2 linked regions of the Arabidopsis thaliana genome follow. The protein of the gene in region 1 purifies or fractionates together with the protein of each later gene. This does not show direct contact. Each region holds a gene or a part of one and is shown on either strand. Other genes may lie near its edges.

Region 1 (8,224 bases):
ATAAACATATTTGTTGAATAATAATCTATATATACATTGGGGATTTTTGAAGATAATGTTGAAGATTTGAGCCATAATTCAACAATTAATTCAAATGGGTGGGTTTTACCCGGTTTAACTCTGTTCGGATCCTAGATAACATGTTTAATTCTGTTCTGATCTTGGATAACATTAATTTTTGGAAAAGTTACCTAAAAACTAATAATTAAAAACGAAAATTAATGATTTAATTACCAAATTTAATATAAACAATATCTCTAAACTAACCATATTTCTTATTTACCTTAACTAATTTTCTAAAATATTTCTACCTAATTTAAACATAAATATATAATTCTTCTTTCAATTTTATTTGATCTTATACTTTATTTATTTTAAATTTATATAAAATATATATAGTTAATAAAATATTATATTTTTTCTGAATATGATGTAATTCAAATTTTTTAAAACGGACATATATTATTCAACCTATGAAGAAATAATATGTGTACAATGTCCTACATCGCTTAGAAAAATTGGACAATGGTTCATATCCATATTATAAAAGGACCAAAATGATTCTGATTACGAATGAGCAGGAAGCTTGATTTATCAGGCGTCCAAAATTAAAATAGTTATCCGATTTTACTCGGATTTTTTATTTTAAAGAATTGAAACTTTAAAATGTTTCAAAAAATTATAAATATTATAACTTTATCAAAAGTTAAATATTATAATTTTAAATTTTTTTATAAAGTTTATCTTTAAAAAATGCTTTAAATATTTATAATTTTAAAACTTATAAAGTTTTAAAAATTATAAATTGAATTTTACAAGAAATTTAACATTATAAATATATAAAAAATATATTAATACGAGACGATATATTACAGAAAAAATCTTAAATATAACAATCAAAATTCAATGATGAATTTTGGGTCGATATTGTATTTTTTTAAGTTTCAAATTTTATAATATTGAAATTTATAAGAAAATGACAAAATTATGTTTAATTTCACGGGACTGGGTTATATGGTATGACGGGTTTGGGTGGATAATAATTACGATTTTAGAATGTCCCACATCGCTTAAAAAAATTGGACAATGGTCAAGAGCCATACTATAAAAAGGACCAAAATGATTTCGATTACGAATGAGCATGAAACTTGATTTATGAGGTGTCCAAAATTAAAATGGTTTGTTTACTAGGGTTATTTATTTTAAAAAATTGAAACTTAAAAAAGTTTAAAAAATTATAAATTAAATTTTACAAGAAATTTAAACAATATAAAAGATATTAATACGGGACGATATACTGCGAGAGAAATCTTAGATATAACACTCAAAATTCAATGATGAAGTTTGGGTCAATATTAATCTTTTTTGAAGTTTCTAGTTTTATAAATATTTGAAATTTATAATAAAATGACAAATTTGTGTTTAATTTCACGGGACGGGGTTATATGGTGTGACAGGTTTGAGTGGATAATAACATGGGATAGTATGCTATGGAAAAAAACATATAATAACAATCATAATATAATTATATAATCTTAAACACTAAACAAAATTAACAATATTAAAAAAAAAAAACTTAAAACTTTAATTTTTTTAAAACACATTTTGATTCTTTTATAAGAAATTTAAACATTATAAATATTTAAACATTATACTACGGGTGAAATTTTATAATTGACTGTTTGGGTTGATAAGAATTTGCGATAGAATTGGGAGTGAAATCCTAGAATGACAATTAAAATATAATTATACAATTAAATACTACCACGGGTGAAATCCTAGAATTGACGGGCTTGATTCGATATTAATATGGGATGGTGTACTACGGAATATTTTAGAATTGACTGGTTTGGGTTGATAATAATTTGCGATAGAATTATGAGTGAAATCATAGAATGACAATTAAAATAGAATTATACAATTAAATACTACCACGGGTGAAATCCTAGAATTGACGGGCTTGATTCGATATTAATATGGGATGGTGTACTACGAAATATTTTAGAATTGACTGGTTTGGGTTGATAATAATTTGCGATAGAATTAGAAGTGAAATCATAGAATGACAATTAAAATATAATTATACAATTAAATACTACCACGGGTGAAATCATAGAATTGACGGGTTTGATTCGATATTAATATGGAATGGTGTACTACGGGTGAAATCCGAGAAACAACAATCAAAATACAATTATACAATATTAAACATTTAACAAAATAAACAAATACAACTTAAAACTTTAAAATTTGAGTTATAAAATTTCGTCTAGCGGTGAATTGTACATTTAAATCAAACAATAGCATAAATTTATTAAATCATTCTAAAAAATATTCAATTATTTTTTATTTAATAAAAATATAGGCTCGCGGTATACCACGGGTTAATATATAGTTAAATGTACACTTTTAAAAGAAAAATTAATCACAAAATACATTACCCATGTTCTATTTTGTTGTTGTGATTAGAAAAAAAGTTTATTTATATCATGTGGGAGACAAGTATATTTTCCTTATTGTATACGCTGCCCATCATACTAATACCCCACAAAAGTAGTGGAAATCTGAAGAAAGTAACTTTGCACTATCGGAAGAGTAAAGAAACAGATGAATAATTTACATTACTTGCCGACACATCTTTTACAAAGATAAATATAAGAGTAATAATGGCATGCTTACAAAATACTAGTAATAACTAAACCAGCACCCATGTTTTTACCGGTTCGCATTATTGGAGATGCTGCAAGAAACAATAGGAACACATCTTTCTATTTTAGATATGATGGTTAAGAGGTGGTAGTGATTAAGAAATCATCTCGGAAACATTAAAGACAGTCACTCTTTGTGAAGGGATTGTTGGATATTTGAAAGAATAACCCACTTTTTATTATTTTAAATGGAGATAATATATTATCTTCGAAAATATGTTTGAGAGGTAAATGAAAGAATTAACATAAGAATGGAAAAGATTTCGAATCAATATATATCTTAGATTTTCCCCTCTAAAGAGACATTAGTTATACACACTTTACACACACAAATCATTCTAAAATCACATAAGTCAAAGTTTAGAAAGGTATATCATAAAAAAAACTTTAGAGCTCTGCAACTTGTTTGATCTCATATACAGTTTAAGTTTGTTGAAGGTCGAACTCTCGAAGGGCGGGATATACGATTTAAACATGTGGTTGTTGTATACTGGAAAGCGTTTTTTTAACGGATCATACAGTTAATTGTTTAGCATAATGTTTTAGATACATGCTTTAACAATTTATTGTTCTTATAGACAGTCCAAGGCAAACCTTTGTAATGAAAAAAATTAACATTACAAAAGAAATGTTAAAGTTAGAAACGAGAGCAGTTTAAATTTAAGCTAATCTTTATTTTACCGTGGATTCAAACTTAAAACCTAATAAGCGGAAATAATTATTGATTTGTATCATATAGTTAATTATACTTTTGATTTTATGTGCTTGGTCATTATGTAGCTCAGACCACTATATATACCCTTCTCATGCCAACACCATTTAATAACCCATCCAACCCAAAAGCATACAATACAATGTCTACTCTTGTTTTATTCCTCCAACTTTTTTCCATCCTACCATTAGCACTTGGGTTGAACCACCCAAATTGTGACCTGACCAAGACTCAAGACCAAGGCTCTACCCTAAGAATCTTCCACATAGACAGCCCTTGCTCCCCCTTCAAATCATCATCCCCACTCTCATGGGAAGCGCGTGTGCTCCAGACGCTGGCTCAAGACCAGGCCCGTCTCCAGTACCTGAGCAGCCTCGTCGCCGGGAGATCTGTAGTCCCCATTGCCTCAGGGCGTCAAATGTTGCAAAGCACTACATACATTGTCAAGGCTTTGATCGGTACTCCGGCTCAGCCGCTGCTCCTAGCCATGGACACGAGCAGTGACGTGGCTTGGATTCCTTGCTCCGGCTGCGTTGGCTGTCCTTCTAACACGGCCTTTTCCCCTGCTAAGTCTACATCCTTCAAGAACGTTAGCTGCAGCGCTCCTCAGTGTAAGCAGGTATATAATTTTGTACTTACACACCTACAGTACTACATATCTAATAAATATGTTTTTGGAATGTTTTTTGATTAATTTATTTTATCCTCACACTTACACTTTCATAGCTTCATAAATGAACCGGTAGTATTAAAAAAGAAAAAATAGTTTATGAATGTCTCACCATACTATATTGTAGTCAAATTTTAATATTAGTAACCTGCATTTGTTTTCATCATAAAGATGTGAGCATGAGAATGTTAATTGCTGCCCCAAAATGAAAATATATTTGACAAAATATCAGATCTAGAAATTTTTTAGTTGATATACAAAAAGGACAGTTTCTATTTTATTACGTGAAAAATGTATTTTCACAGAGAGTGGGTTCCACGTGGTTATAATTGATAATTCCACCCACATTCAAAGAAAAAACGGTCACGGGATTACAGAACCACTAAACACTTGACCGACACAGAGACACTGTACTGCATTAACAACAATTCACGTGAACACTTGCTTCAGGTACCAAACCCCACGTGTGGAGCACGCGCGTGCTCTTTCAACCTCACCTATGGAAGCTCCTCCATTGCGGCTAACCTCTCTCAAGACACGATACGTCTTGCCGCCGATCCGATCAAAGCCTTTACATTCGGATGCGTCAACAAAGTCGCCGGTGGAGGAACCATCCCACCACCTCAAGGCTTGTTGGGCTTGGGACGAGGCCCACTTTCACTCATGTCACAGGCTCAGTCTATTTACAAGTCCACTTTCTCTTACTGTTTGCCAAGTTTCAGGTCTCTGACCTTCTCTGGTTCTCTCAGACTCGGCCCTACCTCCCAGCCCCAGCGCGTGAAGTACACTCAACTTCTCAGAAACCCTAGAAGGTCTTCTCTGTACTACGTCAACCTCGTTGCGATCCGCGTTGGTCGGAAAGTCGTCGATTTACCGCCGGCAGCTATTGCTTTTAATCCTTCAACCGGCGCTGGAACCATCTTCGACTCCGGTAATTACTCTTGTCCGGTTTGGTTCCGGTTAGGTTTTAGTTTTCTGTTTCAATTGGTATTAATTTCGTATTGGTTTAGACTAAAAACATAAATCTTTAGTTAATTAGTGTATTTCGTATTGTTTTACACTAAAATATATACGTAACAAAATAGAATAATTTAGTGTATTTTATTCGATTCGGTTATTTTCAGTTATAATATAATTTTAGATTGGTTTGGTTATATTAACTAAACCATTTGCTGTGTAGGAACTGTGTACACGCGGCTGGCTAAACCGGTTTACGAGGCAGTGAGGAACGAGTTCAGGAAGCGCGTGAAGCCAACCACAGCCGTGGTGACGTCACTCGGGGGTTTCGACACGTGCTACTCAGGGCAAGTCAAGGTGCCGACGATAACATTCATGTTCAAGGGAGTGAACATGACGATGCCGGCTGATAACCTGATGTTACACAGTACCGCCGGAAGCACGTCGTGCCTCGCCATGGCTGCAGCGCCGGAAAACGTAAACTCTGTCGTCAATGTGATCGCAAGCATGCAGCAGCAGAACCACCGTGTCCTCATCGACGTCCCCAATGGACGGCTCGGTTTGGCACGTGAACGATGCTCTTAGAAAGATGAATGAGACAATAAGAGCCTACTCATATTTATGCAGAGACTTGTTTGTTTGTGTTATTTGTGTGTTTCATTTTTGTCTTGTCTTGCGTCGTTTGCTTCACCAGTCTTAGAGGGCGGAGGTGTGTAGCATTTGTGCTATCTAGTAATTTATGTTTTTAATTGTTCTTCAATTATCTAGAGTGTTGGATCTAAGCTAATCAAATAATGAAACTATATTATATTTCCTTACGGTATACAAATATACAATTGAACATATTAGGTAATTAGAAATACATAAAATTGAATATAATATTAGCACAATGATCTAATCAAATTTTAGTCGTTGTCTTAAATTGTTTATCGACAATCGATGTTCATCAATTGGCCCATCAGAAATAGCGCGACTAGTGGATATTTCAGTTCATAGTTTTCAAAAAGAATCCACTTTAAAGCTTGTATAGGGTTTGTCTGGCATGGTAATATGTATAAGACAATAATTTTCATAATTTTATCAACTAGTAGAGAAAGAAAATTGATTAAAAAAAAGTATGATTAAAAGAAAAAATATAGTTTTGAGTTTCAAACGAGTAATGTAGAAAGTGAAAACCAAAAGAGAATGCTACGCCAATTGCTTAAAATCAAATCAAATTTCATAAAATAAAATTGATAATGCGAAAGAGAACAGAGAGACAACAATCACATCGATCATGTAACCACCTAAACAAGTTCCACTCTGGTTCACTCCATTATGATGGTACTTGTATACAATTCTTTTATTCCATACCGGGAAAGTGTGATTTGAACCCCACACATGCTTAAGGTACAATACAATGGATAGTGGCTAAGCACTAGCACACAAGGTATTTTGGGGTCGTTATGATTAAACTATGGCAAAACTGATATAATTCGTTAATGTCTTTTTACGGGAAAATGAATTGAATAATGGAATATAAAGTGGACGAAGCGGGAAAAAAAAAAGCGATATGCGGAATATCTCTAGAAACAGAATAAAGCAGAAAAAAATCAAGGTGCACTAATCCATACAAAATTTTCCAATAATTGGATTGAATAACCGAATTTTAAATTCGTCATTGAGAAAACAGATCAGAAAGAAAACCGAATTTTATTCCGGTTTGATTTGAAATTGTTTCAATTTGGTTTGGTATAATTTGGAGTTAGGAATTTGTGGGTTTGGCAGTTACACGCGTAGGCTAGTGGAAAAGCCCACCACACATAACACACACACATCTTCTTCCTCTCTTTATCTTCTTCTTCTCTGTTTCTCTAAGAAGATAGAACAATCCCAAGATTCTCCTCTTATTTGATCAACCATGTCGAATGTCTTGCTATCCCCAAACGGCTACGTATTTGCATCGCCTAAACCTCTTGGCAGATTCATCAATTCAAAGTCCGGCGGACGGAAACTTTTCTTCTCCGTCGTTAGAGCTTCTTCCGATGATGCTGATTGTAATGCCGAAGAATGTGCTCCCGAGAAGGAGGTACTCAATCCCACCTCTGTATTTGTTTCATTCTCCGCTCAATTTTGTTTCTTTAACAAAACCCATGATGATAATTTTTTTGCAATTGGGTTGTTCAACATTGCTGGGAAATATGAGTTGGTTACTTAGAAGATTTAGTTTCGGAATCTCCAAAATTAGCTAATTAGTGAAACTGGATTATAAAGTGGGGATTTTTACAATTGAAATGATGTCATTGATGAGGTTTGGTGGGTGAAACGCAACAGGTAGGAACAGTGAGTATGGAATGGTTAGCTGGAGAGAAGACGAAAGTGGTGGGAACATTTCCTCCTCGGAAGCCGCGTGGTTGGACTGGCTATGTTGAGAAAGATACTGCTGGTCAGACTAATGTTTACTCCATTGAGGTTCGTTCCTCTTTATTTCTCCATCTATCTATCCACTCCACTCATCTCTACTTTTATTAGTTTAGGTTATACCTAAGTAAGTTTTAGTATCTTTAGGGAAGCACAGGCACTCCTTTTAGGCTCATAGTGTTTGGAGGGATACTGGTTTTTAGTTGAGAGAAAAAGCTTCAAACTTTGCCGAGGGAACAGGTTCTTATGATTCTGTGATAGGCATTAGAATGTAGTGGATGCATAACAACAAGATGAGATTAGGGGTATTTGACCAGTGGCTTGTTTGTGAGCCTTTTGGCTTTCAGGGAGTTAGGAGATCTCTTTAACCAATTTTCAATATACATTTGGCTCTTTCTTTGAGTTTGATCGTTGCTTCAAGGATAACAAAGAAAACTAGGCTTTCGATCTGATCAGTTTTACTGTTATATTTTGTCTCGTTTGAAATTAACTTTTTTTTGGCTTTTCTTGTGTGTGTGTGTGTTTGTTCCATAATTCTGTCATCGATCTCGACCTCCATCTCCAAGAAATATGCATTAGCTTGCAACAACATGTCATGTAAACCCCGCATCTTCTTGAGATGGGGTTCTTGATCTAATTCGATTGGCTTTTTCTTATCGACTCAATTCCATTGGCTTTTTTTCTAAAGAATAGCGTTTCTTGTAACTTTTTCAGCCTGCAGTATATGTTGCAGAGAGCGCGATTAGCTCAGGTACTGCAGGATCATCGGCTGATGGG
Region 2 (9,004 bases), about 16 Mb from region 1:
GTTGATTAGAATAATTAAAAGTTATGAGCATCTGCTCTCCTTCAACCTTCTTTTTGATCAATAGAATACAATATATGAATTCAAAATTAAATGGTAACCTAGGAAGTACGGAAGCTTTGTTGAAGGTCCGCTTCCCACTTCAGAATCTTAGTTGAATAAGAAGTTTTTGAAATCTCACTAGTCACTTCACTTCTAAAAATTCTACTTTGAAAGCTCGTTTGAAGATTACAATTCTATTTTGAAGTTTGCATTTCTATTTAAAAAATTTGATGTCATATATAAATAGGAAACATGAAAATATCCCAAATATTTTTGATAGTTGTTTTTACAAATAAAAAACCAAAACTAATTTTGCAATTTAATTGCATACTAATTTTGTACTTTAGTTTTATAAGATCATCCTTAAAAATATGACCACCACATGAATCATTATTTGATAAATCTTGGAATGATTAATTAATTGAATTAAATTAACTTTCAAAACCTTGAATTTAATGATGTTTTTAAAACCGAATTTGAAACCATTTCTATTTGATGAATTAAGAAGATGAGAATGAAGATCGTGATCTAAATTTTGGCTTTGAACTATTTGATTTTTATTTATTGTGTAAAACTAAACTATCTTGTTTTTATTTGTAGTTGAGGTATTTAAAATTCATGCATTAGACTTCTGTGGTTCATTATATTTTTTAATATGATAATTATTTGATTTAATTTTTTGTATACGCTTTTAACACCTATTCACTTTTTAAAAATTTTATAAAACTTGTTTTTATATTTTTAAATGCTTCGCTTCCGCATACTCATTTCTGATTTCAATAATACAAATATATATAAGTAGGTAATTAAATGATGGTGGTCTAGTGATTGAATGATTTACTCTAAATATTCTCTTTGGCAGATTAAAAATTTTCATGGTAGTTTTAATTATTTATGACCATTCAAAAAAGTTTTTAGTAACAAAATAAAATCTAATAAATGTCTACACATTTCGGAAGGTTAGTATGAAACTCGGATTTTGAAATTCTTTAGATTTAAATATTATAGACTACATGTTATGGTCTATCACATATTCAAAATTTTCAGATTATTTAAATACAAACATCATGTGTTCAAATAAATGTAACAAAGTCGTGACTCAAAAGTCAAAGTCAAAACCTATATGCTCTCTCTGTATTATTTAGTACTTGTATTATTAAACGCGTTTTGGTTTTGGAAATATATAACATAATTCTCATTTTTTCTGTTTAGAGAAAAAACAAAGAATTTTAAAAATTGGTAAATTGTAATCGACAGATCTTCCAGGCCACTTTCCTTATCCCTTTCTCCTCCTAGTCCCACGGACCCTACCTTCCTCTTACATCATTTGGTAATGATCTTTCCCAAATTCATTTATTTTTATAGTTAGACATACTACATCAAGATTCATACTAATTACAGACTTATCAACTATACATTAATCAATATGAGATAATTTTTCTCTTTTCTTGAAGTAGTCCGCTAAAATTATAGTAATAAATACTAATATACCTATAGACATAGACAGATAATTGTAATATCCAAACAATTTTAAATAAGTTTGATGTTCTTTTGATCATAAATCTACCTTCATAATGAAACATCCTCCACCAGCATATCATAAATGGTTTTTTGACGTATATTGAAAAATTCACCATGTTGGTACGTAAATTTCCATTTTATTTTAATTGGTTATGAGATACACACAACCTTCTCAATGACAAGAATATATGGTTCTTCTATATATAAAGAATCTTTTTAATTGAGGATAAAGAACGCCGATTCAAGGATTATAGTAAGCTACTTAATAATTTGACTTCTGCACCGAAACAATATCAATCATTTTTTACAAAAATATAATGAAGAGATATAAATCTGTTTAACTTCTACCCTAATATTCATTTGTGGAGAAAGAAGGTAAAAAATTAAAGTAATGATTCATTTATTCAAGTTATTGAATACATTATGAAGACGAGGAAGACAAAAAGTCAGAATAATGTAAGTAAATTAGCATTAGGTCTTAAACTCTCGGCATTCCGCATTAACTTGATTCGGTGCATTTGGAGGAGGACCGACACAATACCACACGTGGCAAATTAATTTCCTTTTGCAGAAATAATTCAATGTCATGTAATTTCAAATTTTAAAAGTTTTGAAGACAAAAATCATCTCATGAGCCGAATTGATATGGACACTAGTACAGCAGCTTCCTTAGATTCCATCCAGACATAACTTTTGATTTCGATATAGGTCATCGCTATTGTACCAACTACTACGTATAAAAGAAATACTGCATCCTCATAATAAATCATAAAACTTTATAATAAACTAAACAAAAATAGAATTCATTTTTCTGTTTATTTATTGTAATATTCTTATGTGAAACTATTAATAAATTGAACAAAATACTTAAAGGAATTAGATTATATACGATATGTGAATACTGGTCATATTACTACGAAGGTAGTTTTCTTGAGAGTCTTTAACGTTGAATTCTCGTGACCTGGCAAATACATGAAAGTAACAATAAAACTTTTATATTTATTTTTATTAAATGAAGCAAAAAAGAAAAAGAAAAAAAAAAGGTTTTCTTTCGACGTGTGGTATTCTGTATCCATCTATATAACAGAGAGGACATCAATGGCTTTCTTTGAACTTGTAAACCTTACTCTCGAAGAGTCCTCTGTTACTCATTTTTACATTGTAAAAAAAAACTTCTTTTCTTCTCTACGTGAATAAGAATCTGAAGAGTCATTTTCTCAAGGTAAATCTTCTTCGTCTCTTTTCCTAAAAATGAAGTCTCTATTAGAATTTGTTTAAATGAAGTTTCTGTTATTATTTCTTTGATAGTTTCCAGTTCTTTCATATTGATCTACGAGTTAAAACTCAGATTTTCTTACTCAACCATAGCTTATTAGATATGTTTTGAAAACTAGATATGTTAATTGTGAGTCATTTCTTGGATTTAACCAAGTAACTATTAGTAGAGAAACAATTACGGTCATATAATCGTGATGGAAAAGATCTTGCAATGTTTTGATTTCAATCCTATTTTTGGCATTTTTTTTCTTCCAAGAAGTGGTTTAATTTTATTTTCCCCCAATTAGTTGGCGGTCCAATAATCCACTTACAACAAATTGCAATGTTTGGTTTCAACAAAATTGTTTTTGAATTTAAAATGATATAAGTCGTAATCTCATCATATGCATGGTTCTCATTTTGGCCCTCCCGACGCCATGAATTGCGGTCTGTTTAAGTTTGGTCTAGAAGGGTATTTTCGGATACACTCACATTTTAATTCATTCATTGTTCATAGAGCTACCATTGTACCATCTAAATAGCATTTAATACAAATATATAGGGACGAAAGATTACTAATTGAATATTGCAACTTATCCTTCTAATAGTTGTTCGTGTCTTCACTGATTATAACTATGAGTAAGTCGTTGTTCCTAATATGATTAATATTGAAGGGAATTTATTTATATATTTCGTATTTATAGTAATAATATTATAAATTATTTTTCGGTGGATTACATCAATCGAGGAAAATACTAATGCACACACATGGACTGGTCATTTTGTTTCCCCAACTTTTTGAATGGACCAATGGTGATATTTTCAATATAGAATATATTTTCTCAATTCATTAAGTTCTTACTTTGATACAGAAACAACAAAAGATAAGCTTTATATTAAAACCATGTGCAAGTTACACATAACACATGTACGATTACTTGAGATCCGAACACATCGCTTGATCTCAAAGCTTTTTGTTAGAGTCAATCCTCTACATTATTTGGGAGATAATTAACATTCTATTCGATTTTGTCATTATAGCCATAATAAATTATGTTTGGTTCGGACAAGTTCATTTTTACTAATTTGTGAGTTATAACTTTTTTTCTTTTGTTATAGAATGACGTGGCTAAAACAAATGTGGTCAAGCATTTTAGTGCTAGCCGTGGTGGTGATCGGAGCCAGAGCTGTGCCCATCACGTATCTTGAATCTGCAGTGGCTAAAGGAGCTGGTAGACAATAATTTTATTTTCAATTGCTTATTAGGAATCAGGTTCGAGAATGGATAGTATGAATAGATAGAAAAATCGAATTAATGATGAGGCTTTATAGTAAGAAAAATAGAGCCAACATTGGAAATGGTCTTGAGTCAAGTTTCTAAAAATCCAAAAAAATAAATTGTGTCTTCCAAATTTCAAAATGGTATTCAATATAAATGTTCATTATCTTGGATACTTCAGATTAATAAAACCTTTATCGGTGTTTACTCATGAGACTAACTTGGATTTTAAATTTGGTAGATAAAACCATTGTTATAACTAATTATCTACTATGTTTGACAAACAAAAAAAACTAATTACTGTATATATATTATATTTTCTGTAGTGTGTTTGGATGGTAGCGCGCCAGCATACCATTTCGATAAGGGATCGGGCTCAGGAGTGAACAATTGGATCGTTCATATGGAAGTTAGTATTATTTTTATTTTCTCATTTTATTAGATGTTATCATAAATAACTACGTACAAAATATAATGATATTAATTAAATATGTATATACTTATGTGAATACATTAGGGAGGAGGATGGTGCACTGATATAGCTACATGCGTTCAACGTAAAAGTACAATGAAGGGTTCTTCTAAGCTTATGAACAAAGACTTTGGTTTCTCCGGTATCTTGGGTGGCAAGCAAAGCACCAATCCAGGTTTTCAATTCTTTTTTATTTCTTTTCATTTTGTTCAGCGAATTTTTTATTTGTTTTCTTATGCAATGAGACTGAATCGGATTTTGGGTGTTTTGCAGACTTTTACAATTGGAATAGAATCAAAGTTCGGTATTGCGATGGTTCATCTTTCACCGGTGATATAGAAGCTGTTGATCCGGTAATTCACTTGACCATTACCGTTAAACTTAACTACTTGAAATGGGGACATGGATGATTTTTAATCATTTATATTGAATATCACATAACGATTTAGTTGAAGTTCCAAATTTTTAAGAGTGTAATTTGAATATTTTCAGACGCACAAGCTGTTCTTTCGCGGTGCTAGGGTTTGGCGTGCGGTGATCGATGATCTTATGGCTAAGGGAATGAGCAACGCTCAAAACGTATGAAAAATGATAATTTCAAATATGTTTCTCTAATTGTTAGTGAATTTTTGAAGTGTTGGAATTTAAAATGTTTGGTTACATGAATTTCAGGCTATACTCTCCGGTTGTTCAGCTGGAGCATTGGCTGCGATTCTACATTGCGACCAGTTCAAGTCCACTCTCCCTAAAACGGCTAAGGTCAAATGTGTTTCTGACGCTGGTTACTTCATCCACGGGTAACATTCATAATTTCTAGAGAGTCACACATACAATTGCTAGCATCCTAGATAACAAATAACAACCTTTGTTATTTTGTTGTTTGAACAGTAAGGATATCACTGGAGGATCTTACATCCAATCCTACTACGCCAAAGTCGTAGCGACCCACGTAGGATACATCTCTCTTTTCCTTGGCCATATTTCTCTAATATATCAGGTGTATCCCATCACGACTAATCTCGATCACTATTTACAGGGATCTGCAAAGAGTCTACCTGCTTCTTGCACCTCAAGTATGAAGCCTGATTTGGTAAATTTATCGAAAACATACTTGATATACAAGGCATAAATTTTTCCGAGTTCGTTATATTGTATAAACGCTTATGTTTATATTTTCACAGTGTTTCTTCCCTCAATACGTTGCTAAGACCTTACAAACACCGCTTTTCGTCATCAATGCCGCCTTCGATTCTTGGCAGGTTCGATTTTGTTTTTATGATTATTGTTTTCGGTAGAAATAATAACACTAGATATGATTTGGATTTAAAAATTTTATTCCTTTTTTTGCAGATCAAGAATGTATTGGCACCAACCTCTGTTGATAAAAGCAAAGCATGGAAGACTTGTAAGCTTGATCTTAAGAAGTGTACGGCCGCTCAGCTTCAAACCGTTCAAGGTATGTTTTACCTACCGGAACTAATGAACAAATTTGGTTAATATCTTCTAGACTAAACTGATTGGTTTATTATAATATTTCAGGATATAGAGACCAAGTGTTGGCTGCGTTGGCGCCTGTTCGATCCGCGACGACGAACGGATTGTTCTTGGACTCGTGCCATGCTCATTGCCAAGGTGGAAGCGCTGCCACTTGGTCCGGCGACAAAGGTCCCACAGTCGCGAATACGGTAATCACTTGATTTTCTTGTACAAAGTAAAAATAATATTGGAAAATACCACAAACTTTTGATCTAAGAAGGGTTTATAAAAATTTACAAATGGTTTCTATGACATTTAAGACTTTTTAGAATCTTTCATAAACCTGAAAATAAAACATAAATATGTAGTATATTTTTCATTATTGTTTTGGATTTGTTATTTTCAGAAAATGGCTAAGGCGGTTGGAGATTGGTTCTTTGAGAGGAGTACGTTTCAGAACGTAGATTGTTCATCGCTTAATTGCAACCCTACTTGCCCTGCAGTATCTACTGAAGACTAAAATTTATTCATTGATGTCTTAAAATTTATTCATCTTTGGAATATTGTTCTTGAAATTTAAAAGTAAAATAATATAATTGATACAATTTCATTCGAATAAATAAAATCCTTTGCCCTTCTACAATCGTTTAAGCTGTTATATATAATCAATCTCTCTTATTATTGGGTTCGCAATTTCTTAAATTCTTTTTAATAAAGAATCAATCTTATAAATTAAGGTTTTTTTAATATGTTTTTGAACATAAGCTACTAAGTTTGACTACATTTACAGAAGTTGCAATACAGAAACAAAGATGCTCATGAAACACACAACATCAATGGATTAACTTTCTTACAGATATGCTGGATCAAATTGGTATACAAGTTTACATCTTTTAAACTGTCACTTTTGTTTTCCATTGTAAGCTACGAAACAAAAAGCAAACACACAACAATATTGATTCAGTTGCAGGCAAAAACCGATGAATGTTCTTGGTCTCTTGTAGAATCAAAATCTTTCAGCATTATGTCTATAAGACTGTAATCAATGTTGTTCCGATGATGGATCATGTCTACAAATATCTCCTCGACACAGCGGACATACTCTGCTTCGCCATAAAAACATCATCAGATAATCTAGTACACACCAAAAAGGCGGAAAATTAGTTGTCACCAAACTTCACATTATATATCACATTCATACCTGTGAATCTCCTTGAGCCATTTATCTACACAGGTTTTGTGGAATTCATGATGACAAGGAAGTGTCCTTATAGAGTCTGCTTCTTCATATTCCACAAGGCATATGTAACATCTGAGGTTCCAGGAAAAAACATGTTTAACCATTAGGTCTCGAGACTTTTGAGCATCACAATTGGCAAAAGAAAGATCTGAGAATTTAGTATGCATTACTGTGATGGATCCTCGCTTTGTGACTTAGTATAAAGTTTTATCGGTAATAAATCCACAACGTCGTTAGGTGCAGGAACAGATCCTATAGATGATACTGATGGTTGTTGAGAGGATAAGACAACAGATTGCTGATGAATTTCATCAAGAACCTAAAATGAATGCACTGTAGATCCTTAGCATACATGAGAAAGAAAGATAGTGGCAAAAAGCTGTTAGTAGGGAGACCGAAAACATGTATTTACCTCGAAGAGAGCTTCAGCTAGCAATACTATCCTTGAGATGCTAGCTCTTGCATTTGTTTCATCGGTTGTTGCTGTTGTCGAACCACGGTTAGTAACTGCACGGCATGTGCAGCGACCTGCTTGATCTTGACCTGATAAGACACAAGATCTATCATGATGGACTGCGACATTCTCAAACCGGCTTCCTAATCTTTGAAGAGCGCGAACCTGTGGAATTAGTTATATCAGTTAGTTAGATCTTGAGTTGATCAGACACATCAAGGAAGAGAGAATCAATGAGTTTCAAACCTGAGATCTTATTCTCCTCCTTCTTTCAAGGAAATCTGATCTGTGTTCTAATAAACCTTGATACCTCCCTTCTCTCACAAGAGCAGCTGGTGTCTCATGATCCTGAATGCCGAATAAGGTCCTTCGAATGCTAGAAGCGGAACGATTTAGTATAGACGTTGAAGTCACAGGAGCATCCTCTGCTGCTGCGGTTTCAGCAGAGAAGAGATCAGTATCTTCTTCTCCCTGATGTGGCGAGGGACGGAATGCGAAATCAGAGAGTGAAGATCGGCGAAGAACTCTATCACGGAGTCTTCCAACACTCAGAGTTCTACTAAATCTAACATTGCGCTCAATAGAAGGTTCTCGTACAACATGTCTTCTATCAAGAAGTCCAGCATAAGTACTATCCATACCATTAACTACTCTCGGAGAACGTAAGCTACCATCTTCCCCAAATCTCATGGCATCAATATCTCTAACTACATTGTCAATCACAGGAATTCTCGGAGACTCAACTCTATCATTGAGCCTAATAGCAGATTCTGAAGGTGAAGTAACACCATCTTCTCTATGAGAAGAAGAGACTGGATAAGTCGTGTTGAAGGATCTTGAACTTGAAGCTCTGCTAAGTCTAGAGCTTATGTTACCAGGAATGAATTTGAAATGCGAAAAAACTCGACCTGGAGTAGAAGATTCTTGAATCGAACCGCTAACATTTCTCATCTGTACATTGCTTACACTAGCTTCCTCTTCTTCTTCTTCAACACCACACTCATCATCAAGCTCAAGCTCATCACAATGTCTTTCGTTTTCAGATTTCTTATCATCTTTCAATTCTTTATCATAGCAATCTGATGCATCTCTTCTCGATTCCATTCTACGCCGTGTAACACTTCCATGACTCTTCCTCATCCATCCATTACACACCTGAAGAAATCAAAACTCATGAACTTGACCTAATTTCAGATTTGACCAAAATAAATTAAATATCAAAACCAGACCTGTTCATCATTATCATCATCACTGTAATGAGAAGTA

What was found. The genes of interacting proteins can lie anywhere in the genome.
Region 2: the proteins of AT5G07030 (region 1) and AT5G45280 fractionate together in Arabidopsis thaliana (co-fractionation; one large-scale study listed by BioGRID). This does not show direct contact.

What each region holds. Positions count from the first base shown.
Region 1 is NC_003076.8:2,181,008-2,189,231, reverse strand, and holds AT5G07030 (Eukaryotic aspartyl protease family protein), read left to right. Parts: upstream 1-3,259; 5' UTR 3,260-3,514; coding exon 3,515-4,039; intron 4,040-4,540; coding exon 4,541-5,021; intron 5,022-5,270; coding exon 5,271-5,632; 3' UTR 5,633-5,904; downstream 5,905-8,224. Other genes in the region: AT5G07020 (proline-rich family protein), read left to right, coding at 6,948-7,115, 7,361-7,498, 8,162-8,224.
Region 2 is NC_003076.8:18,342,925-18,351,928, forward strand, and holds AT5G45280 (Pectinacetylesterase family protein), read left to right. Parts: upstream 1-2,609; 5' UTR 2,610-2,782; intron 2,783-3,936; 5' UTR 3,937-3,937; coding exon 3,938-4,049; intron 4,050-4,422; coding exon 4,423-4,505; intron 4,506-4,613; coding exon 4,614-4,743; intron 4,744-4,841; coding exon 4,842-4,921; intron 4,922-5,060; coding exon 5,061-5,147; intron 5,148-5,240; coding exon 5,241-5,365; intron 5,366-5,456; coding exon 5,457-5,517; intron 5,518-5,604; coding exon 5,605-5,658; intron 5,659-5,749; coding exon 5,750-5,827; intron 5,828-5,918; coding exon 5,919-6,024; intron 6,025-6,107; coding exon 6,108-6,253; intron 6,254-6,450; coding exon 6,451-6,564; 3' UTR 6,565-6,771; downstream 6,772-9,004. Other genes in the region: AT5G45290 (RING/U-box superfamily protein), read right to left, coding at 7,087-7,150, 7,246-7,356, 7,455-7,603, 7,697-7,903, 7,985-8,893, 8,968-9,004. UniProt on the Arabidopsis thaliana protein: Hydrolyzes acetyl esters in homogalacturonan regions of pectin. In type I primary cell wall, galacturonic acid residues of pectin can be acetylated at the O-2 and O-3 positions.